2 linked regions of the Mytilus edulis genome follow. The protein of the gene in region 2 interacts with the protein of the main gene of each other region in a biochemical or structural test. Links are inferred from orthologs where the notes say so. Each region holds a gene or a part of one and is shown on either strand. Other genes may lie near its edges.

The links.
Region 1: the proteins of GTP-binding nuclear protein Ran (region 2) and ran guanine nucleotide release factor-like form a complex in vitro, tested with the Homo sapiens proteins (2 studies listed by BioGRID). The link is inferred for Mytilus edulis from reciprocal best matches to the Homo sapiens genes RAN and RANGRF.

Annotation. Positions count from the first base shown.
Region 1 is NC_092356.1:49,374,413-49,381,768, reverse strand, and holds the start of ran guanine nucleotide release factor-like, read left to right. Parts: upstream 1-4,329; 5' UTR 4,330-4,439; exon of another isoform or gene 4,440-4,521; intron 4,522-4,563; exon of another isoform or gene 4,564-4,730; intron 4,731-4,880; coding exon of another isoform or gene 4,881-5,339; intron 5,340-5,699; coding exon 5,700-5,767; intron 5,768-7,356. Other genes in the region: cytochrome P450 2E1-like, read right to left, coding at 1,925-2,267; uncharacterized protein, read left to right, coding at 4,881-5,339. UniProt on the Homo sapiens protein: May regulate the intracellular trafficking of RAN. Promotes guanine nucleotide release from RAN and inhibits binding of new GTP by preventing the binding of the RAN guanine nucleotide exchange factor RCC1.
Region 2 is NC_092349.1:64,093,724-64,100,992, forward strand, and holds the start of GTP-binding nuclear protein Ran, read right to left. Parts: upstream 3,078-7,269; 5' UTR 2,999-3,077; intron 2,907-2,998; exon of another isoform or gene 2,600-2,906; intron 2,096-2,599; exon of another isoform or gene 1,763-2,095; intron 1-1,762. Other genes in the region: syntaxin-like, read left to right, coding at 3,212-3,244, 5,348-5,428, 6,540-6,639. UniProt on the Homo sapiens protein: GTPase involved in nucleocytoplasmic transport, participating both to the import and the export from the nucleus of proteins and RNAs. Switches between a cytoplasmic GDP- and a nuclear GTP-bound state by nucleotide exchange and GTP hydrolysis.

The DNA.
Region 1 (7,356 bases), on a different chromosome or scaffold from region 2:
GAGACAAGTTCGTGCGTGGATGATGAATAAATGACAGGAAATTCAACAGCACCGTAATAACTATTATATTGAAGTTATACACATCAGTATACTAACGGCTGGTTTGTTGTTATATTATATTAATATTTGTATATAACAGTTACAAGTATAAATAAAATTTCCCTCAATTTGTATATTATTTTATTCTACTATTCTAATAATAGTAAAGGGCAAGTGCATAGTGGACACTCTTCTCACGGTAATATTTCGATTTTTCTAATAGATTGGATTTGAGCAGACATTCATATTTTCCCGCAAATCGTTCTTGAGATGTTCTTCCGCATGTGTTAAGGTTTATGTACCCTTCTGTAGCCATTTTTGTACGAATTTTTCAAACCTCAATTGTATCAAAACTAAAGATATAATAAATAATAGAGATAGTCCATTTAGTACATGTTCCAAGGGGAAACTTGATGCAAAGCATTATTTTTAACTGTTTCATTGCATCTGATAGAAAAAGAGGACTTTGTGGCAAATAAATCATGATTTTTATAGAAAATCCACAGCCTTTGAAATTAATTAAATGCAATGGAACACTAAAAAATAATGCTTTGCATCATGTTTCCCCTTGGAATAAGTACAAAATGGCCTATCTCTATTATTCATAATATCTGTAGTTTTGATGCAATTGAAGTTTGAAAAGTTCGTACAGAAATGGCTACAGAAGGGTACATAAACCTTAACACAATGATTTGTTATTGATACATATATATAATATATATATTTATCATATACTTAGACTAAATAACATATGATTTTTACTGTATGATAATAGCATGAAATTAACGTAAATTTCATATTTTTCGAATTGGTGCTGAGCGGGCTGATATGAAAAGTTTATCACATGCTTCGAACGTTATCACATGCCTTTCCGTAACGTTATCGCATGGCATTCCGGTAATACTCGGCAAATTCCGGAAAATACACCTCAATGCTACGTTTTCAGTGAAAAACATCACAAAGTAGTGTACAAAACAATTATTTGGATAGTGGAAAGTATATTGTGTAAAAAAACCAAAATAAATGCATTTTTAAAACTTTCAAACATAATTTAGAAAGCAACTTTTATACAATTTGACTTTTCCAAACAGTGTTCATTATGTAGATTGTTAAATTGATTTTTTTTGTCGATTCGTCCATATTAAAATGTTTTTCTTCTCTTTTGATGCATATGATAGAAATAAAATCGAATGTACTAAATTTGGGGTCCGACGTTCGTGAACGTTCACTCTTTGAACTTCTATTTGGGAACCACATGCAAGGATCTGTATTCAATATATGAATCTGTTATTTTTCTCTATTGTTGAAGCATATGATAAAAAGATCATAATAAATAACATGTCATTTTTCATATCGCATGTATTATCAGCCCTCGGTCAATATCAGCCCTCGAGCCATTCGGCTCTGGGGCTGATATTGAACCTAGGGCTGATAATACATGCGATATGAAAAATGCTATGTAATAATCTGATAATATTTCTAATCATATCATTTATCTATGTTTTTAAAAATTATATTCATGAATATTTATTGATGAAATTGATATTATATAAGAAACAATAAGGAATGTTATTTTGCAATCGGGTATCGGTCAAAAACGAAAGTCACGATGGGCACGTGAGAAATGTCTGTGCCGGCAGCATTACATTGAAATGCCCTCACGGTCATCTGATGTAAAAACGAGAAGCGTGTAACACTTATGAACCAACCACATCAACTAACGGCAATCACTGAACATCAGGTTTCTGACTTAGGACAGATGCAAACACATGCAGCGGGTTTACACGTTTTAATTAGTACATTCCTTCACCCTTACCTGAAACAATAGTGTAACATTACATCATAGAAAGACACCCAATAACATATCAATTGAAAGTATTCTTACCATGGTTATCCCTGAGTTTTAAAATGAAAATGTTTGGCCTGTCTGAAATACTGTCGCCCCTTTTAAGCAACAATTCACGTAAATCATTGGCTCCATTAACAACTACCACCCAAGATGACCCAATTGAAAGGCTGAAAATATCACCATATTCTTTTCGAAGTCTACGAAAAGCTTTCACAATATTTCCACCTGAAAGTTGATGTACGTTTCCAATTAGTGGTAGTGGTATTGGTCCAGGGGGGAAATCGGCTGGCCTCCGCGATCTCATCCAAAGCCAGCATATTAGCCCGACAGTTATTCCAATTAAAACTTCAGTAATCGAAACATTTAACAAATACGCCATCACTTTTCTAATCTTTATGTTACCTTCAAAATGTTGACATACATAATCTAACCTTAAAATCGGAAAATTTATCTTTTCTATAATATACTCGATAGCATGGCTAGCTTAGTTATTATATATCATCGACATGTATAATGCAATTCAAGGTTTATGTCGTGCTTGAATCATGATAATTTTTCCTCTAATAGATAGTTAATTTGTTTGATGCATTCCTATGCATAATATGATTTACTAGAAATTAAGGTGGTATGGGAGTCTAAAATAAAAATGATAGAATTTGTTCATACTTTGCCAAAACGTTGTATCTATTGATACATGTTGAAAAATATAATAAAAATGATAGGTCACCGCGCATTTTCTCAAGCTACAGGACGGGACAAAATGACACATTTTGTATGGATTATACAGGAAAAAACACCATTTTGTGATTAGAAACTAAACAAAATGATAGAATTGTTAAATACTTCAGGAAAAGATAGCTTTCAGACACTGCTTTGAGAATATCAAAAGAAAAGATAGGGTCACCGTACGTTTTTTCCGGCTAAAATACAAAATAGGAAAATTCCATACAGAATCCTTCAGAAAATGCACTTTTTAAGAGTTACCTCCCCTTAAAATGCCAATTTAAAAATAAATAAATAAAAACAACCAAAAATAATTAACATTTGCAAAAATATCAATATTTAGAAGTTATATTCTTATAAATTGGTACTTTTAAATGAAAATGTACATTAAACATCTGCATTCCTGCATCAAATTTTGCTAACTTGATGGAAAATCTGGACCTTTGATTCTCTGTTTTTTACAATCCAAGATGGAGGAAGACACCCATACCACCTTAAGGTCACCCACAAAATTCTTAAGAAACACAATGTTACATCTACGTAAAGGGTCATTACCTTTATCGGTTCACTTGAGAGAAAAAACTGAGACGAAGATATTTAGACATTTGTCTATTGAAAAAAAATATATGTAAGGCGGAAATTTATTAAAAAATAGTCTGTGTCTACAAGGAGCTTCTAAAATATTTCAAAACCGCCATAATTCGAATTCAGGGTATCTATAAATCATTGCATGAGGACCTCCTGAAATAGTTCAGGACCTACATAATTTGATTTACGGATATTCTGAAGTATTTCAGGAACCAAACAATCTCGTTTTCAGCATATCCTTGAATATTACATGGCCTCCAAAATTAAATGGTCAAAAATGCATTGCTTCAAGAGGTCCTTCCTTTAATATTTAAGGATTTTTTAGGATGTCCTGTTATATCATATGATTATAGATCTCAACTTAAATACTATCATCCAAAAAACCTATGGTCCTCCTGAAATTAAGCAATGTTGATCAATTATTTATAGAGGTCGTACAATATTTCAGGATATCCTTAATTCGAATAATGCAGTCCTGGAATATTTTTAGAATATCCTTTACAGAAATTACGGAGGTCCTTGCAGTGGCGGATCCAGAGGGGGGGTTCCGGGGGTCCGCACCCCCCCTTTATTTTGGCCGATCAATGCATTTGAATCGGGACATATGTTTGCACCCCCCCTGCACCCCCCCCTTTGCCCTGGGCTAGCACCCCCCCTTTCGAAAATTCCTGCATCCGCCACTGCCTTGTTATTTCAGAAGGTGTTCAGTCCTAAATATTTCAGACTGAGTTGTTCAAGTTTTATGAAACCCGACTGAATTCGAATTATGCAGATTCTGGAATATAAATTTCGTAATAAAGGAGGTCCTGGAATGTTATAGGAGCTAATTGAAAACAATCATTGTAATTTTCAGTAAATTTGCGCCTCTTAGAATTTTACCTAACAGTAAGGGATAACTGAGAACTGTAATTCGGCTGGTGACCTGCAGCAATTTTGTTTGAGCTTGAAATCTGTCAGTTCATTCGATAATGGTTATTTAATCTATAATCAGCGTACTAACTTATGTAACTGTCTAGAACTTCATTGTCAGATGATCAGGAAGGAAAGGAATGCGTCACTAAGTTAGTGGTTTTTTTTGGCAAATTTAAAACCCGTATTTTAAGCGTATCGATTCCGTTACTGTTTCCGGTGTTATTTCAACACATGTTTCTGATTTCTCTCCCCTGCTATTTTCACTTTCTAAACTTAGGTCTTAGCTCTTTCGTAATATTTCACAATAATTCACACAGAAAAGTATTTGGTAGGTACTTTAAAGTGAAAAAAACCCCTTTATTTTGGTTTGTCACATTGACAAACAGTTGGATGAGCCTTTCAGCGAAAAGGTATTGATAAAAAAACAAATCATTATAGTCTATTTTTAAGTATTACGCTTTTTTTAATCTTTAAAATTTCTGATTTACTATGCTGTATCTAGTTAAATCTTGTTCAATCTAGCAAAAACCTGAAATTACAGTTGTGCAATCGAAGCTAATTTAAAAGACATACTTAGCTAATAACATCACAAAACTCAAAAGCAACAGATATATAAGTGGTAAGATACAATATTCAAAGAGTTCAATATAATTATTTAAATTTCTGACCATTTAAAATGATTTTACAGACATGATTCATGAATGTTTTCACTACAATATAAATTTCATATTGCGTCAAAGATTAGAGGTAACAAAGCTACTTTTGCCAAATGCATGGTTATGATCAGAGACTAGTAAGACCACAATTAGAATATGCAGCATCTGTCTGGGATCCTGCAACAAAAGAACCAATCTACAAAATAGAACAGATACAAAGAAGAGCTGCAAGATACGTGACAAATAAGTACAAACCAACTGCAAGTGTCACAGAAATTATAGACCACCTAAAATGGAAACCACTGCAACAACTAAGAAAGGAAACCAAACTAGTGATGTTCTATAAAAAAGAGAATAATATGGTAGCAATAGAGAAAGAAGGACGACTCACACCACCAGTAAGAAAAGGGAGAAATATACATCCTAAGGCATACCAAGTACCGCACTCACGTATTGATGCACACAAGACATCATACTTACCACAGACTATAAGGGACTGGAACGCCTTACCACCAGACATCCCACAGGCAGAGACACTAGGTGCCTTCAAGGCCCTAGTGTCAAACCTCTAGAGCCTTGGAGGCTCCTACTGTTTTTAGCCAGTGTTTAAAGTTTAATTCAAATTCACTGTATATAGTCAGTTCCACGGTTTTACTTCAACAATTTACTTACTTGGATGTCGTCTCCTGCAAACGGAACTCGTCCGAAACATATATAGCAGAATCGTCAGTTTGTTGAAGGAGGCTATTATCCGACAGAAACAGAAATATTACAATCTTGTTCTGTGTGCAGTTTGTAGCTGCAGAGCTGTAGCTCATACATGTACATGTAGGTCCTTATGTTATGTTTTTACTATTTAATTTGCGGACCATAATTTGCAATCTTTACCGTTCAATGCTTTCAAGCACTTTGATTTTTTTTTACTTCTTTAGATGCCAGAAAAAGAGTTATTTGGTGGTGCCTTTTCAGCATTTCTACCTGATGGAGCTAAAGATGTCAGGTAATAAGAATAAGACTATATGAACTTAGCTGAAAATTATATAAAAATTAAATTGTTAAAAGTGGCTTTATATGGAAGTTAAATTTTCGTGGGGGTTTTAATTTCGTGGATATATTCTTTCCACGAAATAAACGAAATTAAATCCTCCACGAAAAATTTCTGCTTTTACAGTATATGAATAAGAAATCTGTTCTTCTACTTAAAATATCAAAGAAGGTTTTAGCACATCACATTAGTCTCATAGACAGAAAACATCACTTACAATTTGATTATGGCATCAGAGAAAGGACCTATTGTTAAGGAAAAGAACCTCAACTAGCATTTGTTATGCATGTATATTGTATATATATCTAGATTGTTATAATTATCTCCCTTTGGAGAGTTGTGATTTGATTTCTCCTTTTATCATTTTAAATGAATGTTCAAACTAGTTTTATAATCCTCCTTTTAAATAACATTGTTTTTTGTCAAGTCTTCAACTTTAGTCGAGAAAGCGAGACATAGCAATCCTACATTCCGTTGGCAGTGGCGGCTTTCACAAATATTCACTCTGTGGTTAAAGTTTTTGAAATTTTAATAACTTTCTTAAACTATACTGGATTTTTACCAAACGTTGACAGAAGCTTTTTTATGATCATAAGATAGTATTCAGAAGTAAATTTTGTAAAAGTAAAATTCCATTTTTTCTGTATTTTACTTATAAATGGACTTAGATTTTCTGCCAGGAAACAACACATTCGCTCTGTGGTTAAAGTTTTTCAAATTTTAATGACTTTCTTAAACTATCCTGGGTTTGTACCAAACTTGGACAGAAGCTTGTTTATGATCAAAAACTAATATCCAGAAGGAAATTTTGTTTAAATTTTGTACCTGTGTATCTGTATTTTACTTATAAATGAATTAAGTTTTTCTTCCAGTTAACATTACATACAGTCTATAGTTACATACAGTCTGTAGTTAAGTTTTTAAAACATTTATTAGATTTATAAACTATCCTGGATTTTTACCAAACTTGGACAGAAGCTTCTTACAATCAAAAGATAGTATCAAGAGGAATATTTTTATTGATTTTTTCCTCTTTTTTGTTGAGCCTGCCACAAATGCAAAAGTAGGCGAGACACTGGGTTCCACAGAACCCTTACGAAATTTTATGCATATTAGACAACATTTATGTTCAATAATTTATTTTATTTCACCCTGATCCCCAAGTTTTTACAAAGTAGTGTAATTATCCCCCTTTGAAAATTTGTTTCTGCAACTTTAGTCAGATTCTACACACAATCGGGAATTATTTACACACAAATTCCACACATTCAGGAATTATTTCTCACATGCAGAAACAGACCAGAGTGTAATTATTTCCCTTCATTTATTTTTCAGTGACTTCAGACAGATTCCAGACAATCAAGAAGTATTCACGCATGCTGAAACAAACCAGAGTTTAATTATTTCCCTTTGAATATATTTGTTGGTTTTTTTTCAGTGACTTCAGACAAATTCCAGACAATCAAGAAGTATTCACACATGCTGAAACAAGCCAGAGTTTAATTATTTTCCTTTGTATATATTTGTTAGTTTTTTTCAGTATC
Region 2 (7,269 bases):
ATGGAGTAATGCATTATGTTATTGAATAAAATGTGTCTTTCTGAGTAAATAAAAATAAAAATTACTCTGTGTTTGTGTTTTATGTTAGAATTAGAGGGTTTTCAATTTCAAAATATTGGACATGGAATAGACATCATGACCTACTTTACTGACATCCAGCTTATTTGGAGTGGAATTTTGAAGTATTATTTATAAGTGGAGCCTAATAACATGGACTTATATTTTAATAAAAAGTCTTCTTTTGTGTTTTAATCATAACTTTAAGGCAGATTTTTATTGGTAAAGGCTAAAAAAGGTAATTTAATAATATTGTTGCTAACGTCACGTCTTTTCCGTCCATTGTGGTATGTCACGATCGCAATTTTCTTGTTAGTTCTCAGACAGCCCATTGTAGTTATTTTTATCCCGGGTTTTATAAATAATTGAAAATAGCAATCATATTAAATTTGGATGACGTAAGGGGGTCAAAGGACTTGAGGAATCAATATCATTGGCTGTTTTATTTTTTGCGAACGTTACTGTTCGAGGTTTCCGTCCAAATCAGTGTCACGTGAGCAACATATATTTATATCTGTAACTCTCCTGTATAGGAGTTACGATATCGCCCTTTGCAGAAATAGATTCGGAGTCAGTTCCTTCACATGATGGGGAAGCAAAGAAGGTAAGTTGTATGTAATATCTTTACAAGAGGACCTTAAATGTATTCCGTCCATCAAAAAGACGTTCGCAACAAAACATAATGTCTTGATAGTAGATGTTGCTAATGTTACTATTACGAATTGGTTTCTTGTGTATTCATTTGATATAAAGTACACCTGCAAATGACATTCTGTATATTTAGAAATTCTAAACCAGACTGTACAATTTTATTACTCCAGGCATATTTTAAACATCACTGTGTGCATACATTTTAACTTTTAAAGATGTTGTTGCTCATGTGACATGTCCAAATGTTGCTAACGTTACTAATTTTTTGGTTTCTTGTGTATTCATTTGATATAAAGTACACCTGCAAATGACATTCTGTATATTTAGAAATTCTAAACCAGACTGTACAATTTTATTACTCCAGGCATATATTAAACATCACTGTGTGCATACATTTAGGAGATAACTGTATTGTATTTTAAGCTCCGACGGCATCAATTGGGGATTTGATGGTCGCAAATTAAGTTTACTGGCGACGCGTTAGCGGAGACAGTAAACGGGTATTTGCGACCATCAAATCCCAAATTGATGCCGTCGGAGCTTAAAATACAATATTGTTATCTCCATTCTAATGAAACTGACAGAAAACAACGTTAAAACATGTATTTAAAATCTGTCATATGTCGTCTGCGCTTGCGCGTACGTCCCATAGCATCAATTGTCAATTGATGCCATGTAAGAAAGTGACGTTATCCAATGAAAATGAACGTTACAAACGTTGTTGCATTAGAATTTAACTTTTAAAGATGTTGTTGCTCATGTGACATGTCCAAATGTCGCTAACGTTACTCATTTTTGTCTCCGTCACATTAGCAACATGAAAGTAGGAGACAGAACACAATACTGTAAAATCTGCCTCATGTGCTTTTAAATACTCTGGCCTGCTTTTAATAAAAAAATCTTAGACCTAAAATTTACACCAAGTCATGAATAATGCAGTTTACTTAGATTAACACAGGCCTGCATAACAATATTTAATCCAGAGATGGTAGTAGCACATTAGTTTGATAAACTTGGATGACTATCAATATAACAGTTTTAAGAATTCACTTACTTTAACAAAGTCAGTTTTCACCACAACTTTTATGAACACCTAAGATGACCAGCAAGTTATTTTACTATCTATATTGTTGCATGTATATGTATACTGTACATGTATGTATGTATGTGCGTTGTGCAATATTTCTTTGAAAGTCAGTTAGAACCAGTTCTTTCCAAGATATAATTTTAAAATAGATATGATTTAATCGGATATGAGTCTGAGTTGTTTATATTAAAAAAATACATCATTATAGAAAACTATTTTCTATTCTAAGACTCTAAATCTGTATATCACTGTCTAGATCAATCAAGCTGTAAACACTAAACTGAAAGGAGATTCTGTCATCTCGAATCTAGAGGACCTTGACATTCAACATATTTAAGTGCTGATGAACTGTGTGGCATTACAATTTAATCATTACGATCTGTAGGTTCCCAGCATTAATCAACAATGACAATACAAGCTCTATCAATACATAGTACATATTACATCTAAGTTTCTTGTTTGTTTGCGCTTAACAATGTTTGAGGGGGCCTGTTTGAGGTGACATTTCTTAATATAAAATTATACAAGTGTCTCTAAAACAATAACAAAAAAAATATTGAAAGCTGGTCATTAACGGTTTGCTTACAACTCTATGGAATAAATCCAGTGTGTAATTGTAAGTTTATTCTATGTATTTACATATATTCTGAAATTACACCACCATAAAATTCCGCCAAATAAATGAATTTGACGCATCCTTATTTATTTATTCTAGAAGTGACTGCGGAAGTCTGATCGCCTATTAACTTCAGGTTGTCATACGCAATTAGTTTTGTATGATGAATATTAAGTTTCAATACTAACAGGAATTGTATATCTCTTTCCAGTCAACTTTACGTTTACAAGTTCAAGAATGACAAAGACGATCAGGTATATTGTTTGTGGTAACGAGTTGAAATGGAATTAATAAAAAATGAAGTGATAAAACATTAAAACATGCTGTTTTCTATACAAATAATTCATCAAAGGTGTAATTGAAATGATTTCTTTCATAGGATGACAGACGATTTTACCTGCTATGTCCCTCTTCAGTCAAGAAATGGCGCAAGAGATTTACCGGAAGGGGGGTTTAAACTGGTTTTGGCGGGTATTTGCCGTCACTTTAGATTATATAAACTACCAAAAATAGAGCTTATGCGATGGAAGATTTCTGTCCTTTGAAATATCTTTGAAAATTTAAATTCAACAACAAATATTATTTACCCGCTAAAAAAAATTCATTAAGTGCGACACAGCCGGAAGAAGGAAACCCCGCATGAACTTGCGCACTTGCTAGTGTTATGATGGTAGACGATATTAAAATTGTATCGATTTTCTTATGTATCATCGGAATTTGGAAGTAACATGTAACAATACATACAAAGACTACAGTGATCTTAATGAGTTGATGAAAATAGTATACACTTAAGTTGAAAAATGACCAAAGATCGTCTTGCGGCTTTAAAAGCGGTAAGAATTTAGCCGGCCAAGTTGGGACTGAGTCTGAGTTAACACTGATTTCTTACACCCCTCCCCCTTTAGTTGTTATTGCTTTAAATGCTTAACAGACATTGACCATGCATGTAAATTAAACCAGTATTAATTGTAAAATTTGGCAATAATGGACAAAGAAAAATGGGGAATCCGACACTGTGACAGACATGCATGTAAAGTACTGCAATATATATTATATATTTACCAGCATGTTTATTGTTCCAGCATTATTGTATATGGCCTTCTTTTGCGTTAGCAGTGGCGGATCCAGGGGTTGGAACCCCCCTTTTTTTGGCCGATCAATGCATTTGAATGGGGACATATAGTTGGAATAGTTGGAACCCCCCCCCCCCCTCTGTTGTCCTGGGTTGGGAACACCCCCTTTTTAAAATGGCTGGATCCGCCACTGCTTAGGGGTGTGAATCCTAATAGGTCTATTCTTAAATTTTTTTTTAACCTAACCAGAATGTAAAAAAAAACTTAGCTTCCTGTAAACTGAACACGAAATTTATGTTGCACACTGCCTATAAAACTAATAGACTAAAAGTAGGCCTATTAATATAATCACCAGAGTGCCTGAGTCAAATTATTTACACTTTACTACAGATTTCGACTCATAATCTGGAAGAAGACACCCTTATCTGTATTGACTGGTGGAAAACATTCTGATCATAACTCTGCATTAGTTTAATACTGCATTGTTCAACTGCTCTTTTTTATATCGCTCCATTATTATTGTACATAATGTATCTGAATTTTCCTGTATAGAGCTTGCAACTTACTACAGGAAGCTGAACTTTTTCACCAACTTGTCTACTCATATTTTCCAATTTTGATAAAATCATGTTGAAAAGGGTTGAGTTGGAAGGAGTAAATTTAAAAGGATTTAATCCATATATTAGTTTAGTGAGGCATGCTGGTAAACATAAGGGCTGATAGTTTTAGAAAGTGGGGTGAAGTAGTAAACAAAAATGGGGCGATTTGGCCATGTTGGCAGTGGGGCAAGTTGTCTTGATTCCATCTAGGAGTTTTTGCCTTCTTGGTGGTAATGTAAGAAGTGTTTAATATTGTAGGTAAATACAAATACTAATTTGGCACAGATTACTTTAAATACAAATGTATCCATACATACAAATATTAAATTAAAATTATTCTACTGACAAACATGATAAATGACTGACAAACTTATATTTCCTGCACATACTAGTACTGTTAATACATTGTTAGTTGAATAAATTGAGATGTGTGGTACATGTAACTAAATCAGCACTAAATACAGTCTTCACGCTGAGTGGCAACCCAGGCTTGTAAAATTGCTCTTGGGCCTGTAGAAATCATATTTACCGGCCAACAGAATCTAACTAAAAATTTTCAAAAAATAAGCTAGGGGCCTGTAGATTTTACAGTTCATCGTGAAGACTGTAAACACAAATATATAAAAACTTATTGATGGCATTTTAGGATCTACAACAATAGACAGTTTTCTGTACAATACAATACAATGTAGTACATGTACATGCATGTACAAATATATGTCAAGCTTTAATTGCCTGAGTAGAAATACATTTTATTTCATATGTTTGTTAAAAAAATACAAATATATGTGTTAAGGGTTTCCTTTACTGATTTTAATTTTGTGTTGGCACTCAATATTAGGGTCAGTAAACATAGTTACTAAAGGAAACCCTCAACACATATATATATATTCATGCCTGGGGAGAATGCTGATTAATGGATAAATGTTGATGTACCAAATTGATACGAAAATATATTGTACATGCAGATTAGCCACATGAATTGTTTCTTTGATTCACATTAGAAATTAATTTGTTTACGCAGTCTGGGTCCTGAGCCACAAGTCTAATGCCCCAGACTAGTAAAGTTTTATTCAGACTAGTAAGCTTTTATGACACACAAGAAAAATGTTGGATATTGGTTTTCGAACTAGAAGTCGTCGGTAAATGGAAAGATTTAAGTGCAGACTGATGCTGATCACTATATATAATATAAATACAAATGTACACTCAAACCATACCAAATTATATGAAAATGTTAATGTAGTTGTTTGTCTTATTTTAGGCACAGAGTGATGATGATGACGCAGACGATGTGGCTGTCAATGTTGACACTGGAGGTTTCATGGACATGTTCTTTGAACAGGTATAAACTTTCATTTATTTATGTAAAAATATTTCTTTTTGGCATTTATTGCTCAGACTAGTATGATTTTATTGCAACATAAACAGTAAGCATGTTGAGGTGGCCACACTGGTGCAGTGTATCCCAAACTCCATCTGACCGACAAAATGTCAGACAAAAAATCATTCGGTCACACAGAACTTTTAAGATTTTTTGGTTGAATATACATGTATATAGAAGAAAAATTGAATTTCTCTTTTGGTCAGACAAACCCTAAAACAGTTTTGCACAGACTGTTGGTGTATTTAGAAAAACAAACCTCAAAAATTTCAACATTTTTATAAACATAATGTAAAATTACCAAGTGCTGAACCTGCTCCTTAAACACTTTGAAATGGCATGATTCACAATGGCGTTAACTGTATCAGAAACTGAAAGCTGCAAAAAAGTATGATCAATATACACATCTAACATTGTTGGCTTGATGTTTAGACGAGTTGTATATACATAATGTACACAGCCATGTATCACCATCACTGCTGGTGATCCGATGGATAAATCTGTTGTAGAGTTGTCACTGGTTCAGACGTACATATACAAAAATGTATATACAACATCTTAAAAATTTCAAAACACTTTTATATTGAAATCATTTATTGATGCTTTATATGGGTTACTGCCCCTAATGAAAATACCAATTTATGAATGTATTTGCTTAAATTAACTTCTTCCAGCAGTTTTTTGTTAATGGTAATATCAATATGGTATATATAAAAAAAAAGAGACTTCTTTAAGCCTGCAGATAACATATTGCTGTTGTAATTTCTCAATTTTAAAATATATTGAGTTTTCATAGGATACTGGTTCTGTCAAAACTAGAATAAATGTTTTTAGTCCTGTAAAATAAGAAAATTTATGGGACCAAATTTAAAAGTTAAACAACATTTGAGACAGAGAATTAAATGTCCTTTGAAATTTTGTTCCTACAAGTTACTGTTGATATTTTACTGGATTGGTAACACCAAAGAATTGAAGGGATAATTCACAGTATGTCTATTTTGTTTAATATTTTAGCTCAAGTTTTTTGTTTTTTTTGTTTTGTTTTTATTAAATTTTATATTAAAATTTGTAGGTGGAGGAGATCCGGGGGATGATAGATAAAATATCAGCTAATGTGGAAGATGTGAAGAAAAAACATAGTATGATTTTAATGGCACCACAAAATGATGATAGTAAGTTATTAAACACTTTTTTTACAAATATACAAACTTAATTACAAAGTGTGTAGCAATTATTTCCCTGAATTAGTATACATTTGTACATTTTACATGATTGTTTGAGGATCAGCTGAAGCCCAGCTCCATGTGTGAGATTTTTATGCTGTGTTGAAGACCCATTGGTGGCCTTCGGCAGTTTTATGCTCTTTGGTTGGGTTGTTGTCTGGTTTACACATTTCCTGTTTCCATTTTGAATTCTAATTGTGGGCTCTACTATCTTTCGAAAAATGTTATTTCATATATAATTTGATAAATGTGTATAAAGCAAAGAAATATGAGCAAGAAATTGTGGTAAAGATCTAATGGTGATGAAAGTGTTTGATATTGATGCCATTTGATAGCGCATGATTTCTTATACCTAAGTCCATGACAGTAAGAAGGCATCATGTTTTCTGGTCTGTGTGTGTCTGTTAGTTCTTCCAATATCATTGTAAATGATCATCAGTGTATATACCAAATAAAACTGCTATTGTGTATACTTCAATGAAATTTGTTAAGATAACTGATAATGGTGGTTTACCATCTTGATTTGTGACATAATTAAAAGCTTGCATGTCTCGAAATCTCAATTCAATAACTTGATGA